2 linked regions of the Schizosaccharomyces pombe genome follow. The protein of the gene in region 1 binds, or shares a complex with, the protein of each later gene. Each region holds a gene or a part of one and is shown on either strand. Other genes may lie near its edges.

What was found.
Region 2: rqt3 (region 1) and rqt4 share a complex: the UniProt entries of both Schizosaccharomyces pombe proteins name them as parts of the RQT (ribosome quality control trigger) complex.

What each region holds. Positions count from the first base shown.
Region 1 is NC_003421.2:2,014,063-2,018,454, forward strand, and holds rqt3 (CUE domain-containing protein Cue3), read right to left. Parts: upstream 2,536-4,392; 5' UTR 2,517-2,535; coding exon 771-2,516; 3' UTR 522-770; downstream 1-521. Other genes in the region: wtf meiotic drive antidote Wtf19, read left to right, coding at 3,655-3,790, 4,006-4,335, 4,385-4,392. UniProt on the Schizosaccharomyces pombe protein: Involved in activation of the ribosome quality control (RQC) pathway, a pathway that degrades nascent peptide chains during problematic translation.
Region 2 is NC_003424.3:1,065,643-1,070,318, forward strand, and holds rqt4 (transcription coactivator Rqt4), read right to left. Parts: upstream 3,037-4,676; 5' UTR 2,811-3,036; coding exon 2,131-2,810; intron 2,077-2,130; coding exon 1,389-2,076; 3' UTR 1,198-1,388; downstream 1-1,197. Other genes in the region: DSIF transcription elongation factor complex subunit Spt5, read left to right, coding at 1-1,197; wdr55 (WD repeat-containing protein), read left to right, coding at 3,089-4,174; lysophospholipase Plb3, read right to left, coding at 4,497-4,676. UniProt on the Schizosaccharomyces pombe protein: Probably functions as part of the RQC trigger (RQT) complex that activates the ribosome quality control (RQC) pathway, a pathway that degrades nascent peptide chains during problematic translation.

The DNA.
Region 1 (4,392 bases):
TTTATCACTTTCTTTCTATCTCCTTCTTTCTTCGCCTTGTTCTTCTTTTACTGGCTTTGGAAGAACTCGTGCATTTTACTTGTGTTTATAGGTGCATCCCAGTTCTATATATGAGATATCAGTATGTTGTTTCATTCTCAACTTGGAATTGAATATTAAAAGCAAGTCAACTAATAAATTCACATTTGCCGCTATGTTATCAACGATCTATGTAAACCATTGCCTTTTCTTTGTCATGCTTCACTTTATTTATCCTGCTGTTTTGGTATTACTGTATCAAACAAAGATTTTTCTTTTGAAGGGATGGATAGATTTATTTAAGGCGTTGATCTACTATTTGTATATAGTGTTGACAGAAGTAGCTTCGTATACACATGCATAGTTTTCGAGCTGCAGTTATTTAACTTACTGTGGGTAATACTAATCTATGTTTCTTATCATTTTTTCAATTCAAACCCTTTAATCTGTAAAGTTCTTATATACTGGCTACCACACGTAACGCGTTTGTGAAAATGTATGTTTGCAACTACTTAAAATCGCCTTTGCATTCAATTAACCATGTTATTCAAAATGCACTAGATAATAGAAATAAATAGCATTATTCGCGATATATGGTACCACGTACAATTGATCATACAAAATTAAACCGTAATAAGTAAAGCTATGAAATGCGGTAAAACTTCAATAGTTCTTGAAAATAGTACAAGAAAATACACGTAAAAGAGAGTAGAAAATCAATTATCAAGTTTATAAGGATAAGTATTTTAAATTCATTTCTCATTTGAAGCCTTTTTGGGTTTGGTTCGCACATACTTCTTCTTCTTTAACGAAGGGTTTTTAGACGGGCGAGATGGGCGATGCTGCCTGGATCCATCGTTTAACTCCGGAGGAGTGTAATTACTTTGCTTAAATTTTGTTTGCCTTAAAGAACCAATATTTGTGTTTCCAGAACCAAAAGTAACCTCTTTTTTTACAGCTTCAGCAAACTTTGAGTCAGTGGTAAACATTCTTCTCCAACCCTCTATTTGCTCGTGGGTAAGTGAATTGTCAAGTTTGGCAAGCAAATCCGCGCGTTCCTTTGATTTTCTGGCTTTTTGATCAAATACCTCTGGATTTTGTTGGTAAAAATCATACAAAGTTTGATTAATAAACTTCTGAAAATCGTGGGCGTCTTTAGAGGATGCTTCAGGATCATCATCACCGACACCCGAATCCACAGGGCCCGTAGTATCGAGATCATCATAAGTATCATCGTATTCATCGTCTTCAGCCATAGCAAGAAGGTTAAGTACTCGAGACTTGTCAGTTTCGGGAACAGATTTCTTCCAGAAATTTAAATCTTCGGGTTTTTTATTTAGGTAGAGTCTATCCGGAGATATATTAAGATGAGTAATATCATCCTCTTCCGCAACTGTACTCCTTGTCTTTTTATCGCTAGTACGATTTGAAATAACTGCAGTGACTGAAGAGCTAAGAGAAAGAGGAGCTATAGCTTTTTTAGGTTGTTTGTGCATCGAATCAACGTTAGGTTTCGTATAGATAGGCGAGTGTGTTGAAGAGTCAAGCTCTTCTGGTAGTGAGGAAGTAATTACAGATTCACAGGCAGCATCTATATTCCCCAGCGAGGCTGATAAGTGTTCAACGGCCTCTTCGACCGAAAGCTGCGGAAATAATTCTATTAGGCTTTTAACATCCCCGGGGTTTATATTCACAACCTTGTTAATTCCTTTTGATGCTACGTGGGAAGAAGATCGACCGCTTCTCTGTTTTCTCCAATCACGAAGACCTGAGTCAAGCATCATGCGAATTTCCGGATTGCCAATGTCTTTCAAGCGACGAAAAAGGGCTTCGTCTTCGAATACTACATAAATACAATTCCTTAAATCTAAGGAGTCTAAAAGCATTTCCAGATAAAACACTAGAGAGTTATCGGAGGAATGGTGGAGGGAAGTTTGAATAAGTTTTTTCAACCAAAATTCGTTTTCCTTAGCTTGCAAAGAAGCAGGATCTTTTTCCATCTCTTTAACGAGATCCGAAAGCACTGGTAGTAAATCCAAAATTGCGGGATAATAAACTGTCGAGCTGACACACTGGCAAACTGTCCAAACCAATACGAGCTTACAAAAGTTGGCATCTCGAAACTGTTGAGAGTTTTGAAAGCATTTTGTAAACTTGAATGCCATATCGTCTGAAGGGATTTGTCTGCACACCGACCAAGCATATGCATGATTTTGTGAAGACAGGAGAAAGCACGCAAGGAACTGCATAACAGTAACAGGACCAATTTTCTTTAAACAACCTTCAGTTTTGAGACATCGGTCAAAAAGAAAAATACAATTTCTTTCTCCCTCATCTTCCTCTACCAATTGACCATTCAATGTTTGACACCAGAAGGCATTTATTAACTTTGAAATCAATTCCGTAGCAGCAGGAGCAACAGAGGGCCAATATTCGTCTTTAACATATAACAGCTTGGAAACTACATTTTTGCTAGACGATATGACATTCTCAGACATTGCAGCGTATACGCTTTCTACTGCTGTGTTCGTGCTCTGTAGTTTCTATGTACTAGTACCAGCTGAGTAGCGACGTACCATGATTTTCGGTAATTCATAACTACACGGTGCAGCGCTTACAATGCAATGTGAGGTTAAGCCGCACTACAATAGGCTGTTTATAAGAGTACAATTCATCATCATATGCCCTTATTTACCATTTCTTCAAGGAATTTATATTCAAATCATCGTTTAAAAAAAATTTATTTCAAATAAAAAAAGGGAGTCGAGTCAGTTTAATTATGTGCTGACAAACTGTGCTTATAAGATGTGACATTTAACAGTACTCCTTTAACAATATATCATTCACATGAAACAGTATAGAGACTTAAAAAGACTCATCGCATCCTAACGTGTATATAAATGTCAGCCACGCAGTTTGGTATTGTTAGCTACGCAGTTTGATATCTGTTTTAACGATATATAGAACTGCGGTGAGTTTTAGTTGCGACCTACAATGTTGCGGTATGCAATATGATAAATTAAACAATGTGATATTTATTGTTATAAGAAGTTTGTTAGTATCGGTCACCGATATAGCTCATAACTGAACTGAGGAACGAGGTTCGGTTGTAGCTCTATTTATAATCTTTCTGATAGTTACTGTCTATGTAGATAAACAGATAGTTTATCTGTGTATCAATAGCGGATGTTCAGTAGTATCTTAACATCTGACATATAGTGATACGCAACGTGGTGTATCTTAGCGTCGTGTAGTATTGCTGACACAGTAAACCCGCATTTGCGTATTAACTTACAGTGGCATATTCTATTATACAGTAACAAAATATTTCAGGATCTCAAAAACGTTTAAGGAAATCTAAGTTGGGGTGAATAAAAAGGGCAGTGACAAAATTAATGTGTCAGAAGCAATCCACTGCCTCGTTCAGTTTTTTCGTTCTTCTTTTTTTATGCCATTGTTTGAAGGAATTAGTTGGAAATTTGTTTGAACAATTTTATTATTTTGTTAAAAAGTCTTTAAAGCGATTGGAATTGGACTACAGAGTGAATATTCTTGATTTTGCTGTTTCGTTTGTCGCAATCACAACAATTGAACTATTTGTGTGTATATCATTAAATAATAGACTGTCGTTAGAAAATGAAGAATAAATATTATCCCTTGAGGTCGTCTATGGATGAATTGAGTGCAAAAAACGATAATGAAATTGATTTGGAAAAAGGTCCTCTCCCAGAATACAATTCAGAAGATGGGAGCACATTGCCTCCATATTCAGGTAAGTGTTGTGTTGTTGGTAGATAAGATAAAGAATTGAGTGTGTCAAGGATTATTTGCTGTGTCTGTTTGTTTTGATTTACAATGTTTTTGTTGTGTTTGTTTGTTTACAACTTGACATATTACGAGTATAAATTCGTCTAACAGGCACGCTCTTTTTTCCTTTCCCATTAAAAAATATTCTAAAGTTACCATTGAATTTTGCTAACAATATAGAAAATATAAATTTAAAGGATCCCAAACAAATGGGAGCTAACAACCCTAACTTATTTAATACGGACGAGTCTACGACTCCTCCGGATTATGGTGAAGACAGTCTTTCTATTACACATAGAGAAAACCATTCTTCCGGGACGGCAGATAATTCTTCTACCTCTCCGTTGAAAAAAGCATTTTTATCATTCATTTCAATCTTTGTGCTAAACGTACCCGCAGTTTGTTATCTAACGTATAAGGACGCTCTCTTTAAAGATTATGGCAAAGATGAATGGGTATATTTTGCAGTGTGGTGTGCTAGTTGCCTAATGATTTTTATTTCTTTATGGTGTAAGTGACACGATAGGACTATTCTTACGTTCAGTCACTAACTCATTAGACTTCTAT
Region 2 (4,676 bases), on another chromosome or scaffold:
GTTGCCTGCATTTTTTCTGTCGATCGTGATACGTACAAAGTTATTGATCAGAATGGAGGGGTTAGAACGGTTCTTGCTTCTCAAATTACCATGCGCCATTCCAATCGCCGAGGTGTGGCTACAGATAGAAATGGGGCTGAAATTCGGATTGGCGACAAAGTAAAAGAGGTTGGAGGAGAGGGAAAGCAGGGAACGATCTTGCACATATACAGAGCTTTTGTTTTCTTGCATAACAGAGATATCGCAGAGAATAATGGTGTATTTTCCGCTCGCAGTCGTAACGTAGCAACAATTGCGGCAAAGGGTGCCCGTATTTCAGCAGATTTGACGAAAATGAATCCAGCTTTATCCAATGGGCCGGCTTTGCCTCCGGTTGCTAACTTGAAAAGAACGATTGGACGTGACAAAGCTATTGGCGCTACTGTACGCATCCGCAGAGGTCCTATGAAAGGATTACTTGGCGTTATTAAGGATACTACTGATGCAAATGCACGTGTTGAGTTACATACGGGAAACAAAATGGTTACAATTCCTAAAGAAAACCTGCTATATACTACTAAGACTGGTGAATTGATTAGCTATACCGAATTTATTGAGCGTTCTAGAGGAATAAGACCTGGTAGTATCAGCACCGCTGATGGACCAAATGTACCAAACTGGGCCCAAGGAGCCCGTACGCCTGCTGTTGCAAATGGTTCACGCACTCCAGCTTGGAATACTGGAAGTCGCACACCTGCGTGGAATTCTGGTTCAAAGACACCTGCGTGGAATTCTGGAAGTCGCACCCCAGCGTGGAACTCTGGGAATAAAACTCCTGCTTGGAATGCTGGCAGTAGAACACCTGCTTGGAATTCCGGAAATAAAACTCCTGCATGGAATGTTGGCAACAAAACCCCTGCTTGGAATAGTGGTGCTAAAACGCCTGCATGGAATGCTGGTAATAAAACTCCGTCCTGGAACAATGGTACTAAGACTCCAGCTTGGAATGCTAATCAGACACCTATGGTTGCTAATGGCACTAACACCTCATGGGGACAAACCCCTGCATACGGGGGATTCAGTGAAACTAACTGGGATACCGAAGATAATTCAAAGCCCTATACTGCTCCTACACCTGGTGCGTGGGCTGCTCCCACACCAGGTGGTTGGGATGATGAAGAAGGAGATTCACCCAAATATGTACCTCCTTCTCCTTAATTTAAAATCAAATTTTTGAAAATATCGACAGATAGTTTTGTTAAAATTGTTAAGACATATTCTAATTAACGTAATCTTGTTAATAATATTAAAATGATACGCACTTTACCAAAATGCATATATGTATATTTAAAAAAACTGAATCTCATAAAAGCATACATTAAATATTTGTAACTTTAACATAAACATACTTATAACATCGATGGCATGCCATCATCATCCTGAACTTTAGACCACTTCTGATTTATTTTATTAAGAATAGATTCAGGCACGGCGACATGACTAGAGTGTAGGTCTTGATGGTAAATAGGCCTAGGCAAATTTCTAATAACAGGAGCCTTCGGGTTATGACTATGAGATTGGCCCTCAACTTTAGTTAAATTGTCAAGTTCATCCTGATCTTCATCAGAACTTTCAGAAGATGCTTCCTTTTGATCGACTACAACTTTTTTTCCTGAAAGACTAATCGACAATACCTTCTTTTTTTTCTTTTCCTTTTTAGCCATGGCCTTTTGCATTCTAACAAGATTTAAAGCTTTCTCAGCTGGAGATGCCCAAGTATCAGAAGCTAGCGAAGTAGGATCAAAATCAGCAGCTTCGTCGATAATACGAGTTCGTTGAGCAGAGGTTCTATCAAAATTTAATAAGACATTTTTTCTTTCTTCAGCCTCCTGAGCTTTTTGCTCTAGTTGTTTAGGATCGAGAAAAATTGAATGCAAGGAGGAATTTTGCAACCTTTGAAAATTATTTTTACTAGAAACGGTTTTGCTTTTTCGTTTTTGATTGGCAGCTTGCTTTAAGCGGCTTCCCTCATGCTTCAACTCTTGAATTAATTCCAACTGTTGAGCTTTGCTAATGACAGGATTATCACAAAAGGTGCTAATTAAGATTAGTAAAAACTTGTTAATAAGATATAGTAGTAATATTACTTACCAAGGCCCAATCCCCTCAACAATGCAAATTATTTTTCCACAATTCAAACAATTGGGAGCCGCCTCATTAAGCGGATGCTTACGTCCTTGACAATTGCAGACTCTTCTTTCTGCTTTATTTATATTTTGAGATATCTCTATTTGACGTATAGCTTTTTCGATGTCGGCGAGACCTTCAATTCTGTTAGAAGAAGAGTTATTATGTTTTACACTTTTCTTTTCCGGAATAAGGTCAGAAGTCATTACGCCTGGAGAGACATTTTTCGTAGTTTTGCTAGATTTTTCATGTGATGAAATATTGTTTGATTGTGATTTATTCCTCGAAGCAGGATTGACTTTATACATTTCTTCATCATATCCTTTTTGCTTATTGTTAGCGATATAGAAACTTGGATGAGAAGATGTGGCAGTATTTTTTTGCCGAATATTATTATTTGGTGTCACATTCTTCTTGTTTTTCATGATCGATGGAGAATTACCAGAATGCGTAGAGTGAAATCTTTTTTGATTGAAGTCACTAATGAATTCTATAGTCTCAGCAGAATCCCCCAGTAAAGAAATCCAATAATCTTTTGCGGCTTCGGAAGAATCGACTGCTAAAGCAGTGCTTGTTATCATTGCGGCACTCTCATCGTCGACTGGCAAAATTTTCAGTACGTTCTCCTTCGTCCATTTTTCCATGTCTAACTTTCTAAAAGAATTCGTAGTTTAACGATTTCGAATAAAGTCTTTGAATAAAGAATCCCCAAGTAAAAAATACTATTGAATTATTTAAATGAGTTCAAGAAGTTCGTACAAATAAAATTTTATATGCTTTATGTAAATTTTCCAAAACAATATCAAGTTGGTAGTGTAATAGTATTCGCGATTCTAGGGTATGCAAATTTGCTACAGGGCAATGGGTGCTGAGAGGTGGATTGCCCAGCTCTAATCACAGCCTACTTGTCCTAAACAACCTAATGGGTGGAACAATAAATGCTGCTATAAAACAAAAATTTGAAAATGAAATATTCGACTTAGCTTGTTTCGGTGAAAATCAAGTGTTACTGGGTTTTTCAAACGGCAGAGTTAGTAGCTATCAATATGATGTCGCACAAATAAGTTTGGTCGAGCAATGGAGTACCAAAAGACATAAAAAAAGCTGCAGAAATATTTCAGTAAATGAATCAGGTACCGAATTCATTTCTGTAGGTTCAGATGGTGTTTTAAAAATCGCCGATACCTCAACGGGGAGAGTGAGTTCAAAATGGATAGTGGATAAGAATAAGGAGATTTCTCCTTATAGTGTGGTTCAATGGATTGAGAATGATATGGTCTTTGCTACAGGTGATGATAATGGTTGTGTTTCTGTTTGGGATAAGCGCACCGAGGGAGGCATTATCCATACCCATAATGATCATATTGACTATATATCTTCTATTAGCCCATTTGAAGAACGATACTTCGTTGCTACTAGTGGTGATGGAGTTTTGTCAGTAATCGATGCTCGTAATTTCAAAAAACCAATATTGAGTGAAGAACAAGACGAAGAAATGACCTGTGGAGCTTTTACACGGGATCAGCATTCAAAAAAGAAATTTGCTGTTGGTACTGCCAGTGGAGTTATAACTTTATTTACAAAGGGTGATTGGGGGGATCATACCGATCGCATTTTATCGCCAATTCGGTCCCATGATTTTTCAATAGAAACAATAACTCGTGCTGATTCTGACAGTCTGTATGTTGGCGGAAGCGACGGATGTATACGTTTGTTACACATTCTTCCAAACAAATACGAAAGAATTATAGGGCAACACTCTTCGCGATCAACCGTAGACGCTGTGGATGTTACTACCGAAGGCAATTTTTTAGTTTCCTGTAGTGGAACCGAACTAGCTTTCTGGCCGGTTGATCAGAAGGAAGGAGATGAGTCATCCTCCTCTGATAATTTAGATAGTGATGAAGATTCCAGCAGCGACTCTGAATTCTCGAGTCCTAAGAAAAAGAAAAAGGTGGGAAATCAAGGGAAAAAGCCTTTAGGAACTGACTTTTTTGACGGTTTATAATTCAAAACAGCTTTGATATCTATAAAATTGCACAATCATTATTAAAATTAATTGTCTGTATATTTAAAAATAAAAGCGATCTTCCTAAATTAACTAAACTAAACATCTTCATTAGAGAAAAGAAACATTGTGCTTCGAAAACTTAAAATGAATTCACTAACACTAACACTAAAACTACAAAACCTTTGAACCCCACAAGTTTGGTAGTGATTAATACCTTACAATTAATAAATAAAAGCCTGACTCAGTCTATGCTTTTTAATTCTTTCAAGTCGAAAAGTGACTCATACCAAGGTGTGTGAGTGGGGGAGGCTTTCGTCGTCTATAATAGTAACGAAACTGTTAGAAGCGAAGCAAATAAATAAAATACTATAGGTTTGGCTCGTACAGAAGAGGTACCAGAAGTGGTTGATGCAGATAACACAGTAGGAGCATAGTTTGAAACGGCACTAGGGTTGTTCACGGTTGTTCCATTCCAGCAGTATTGTTCAAAACAAGAAGA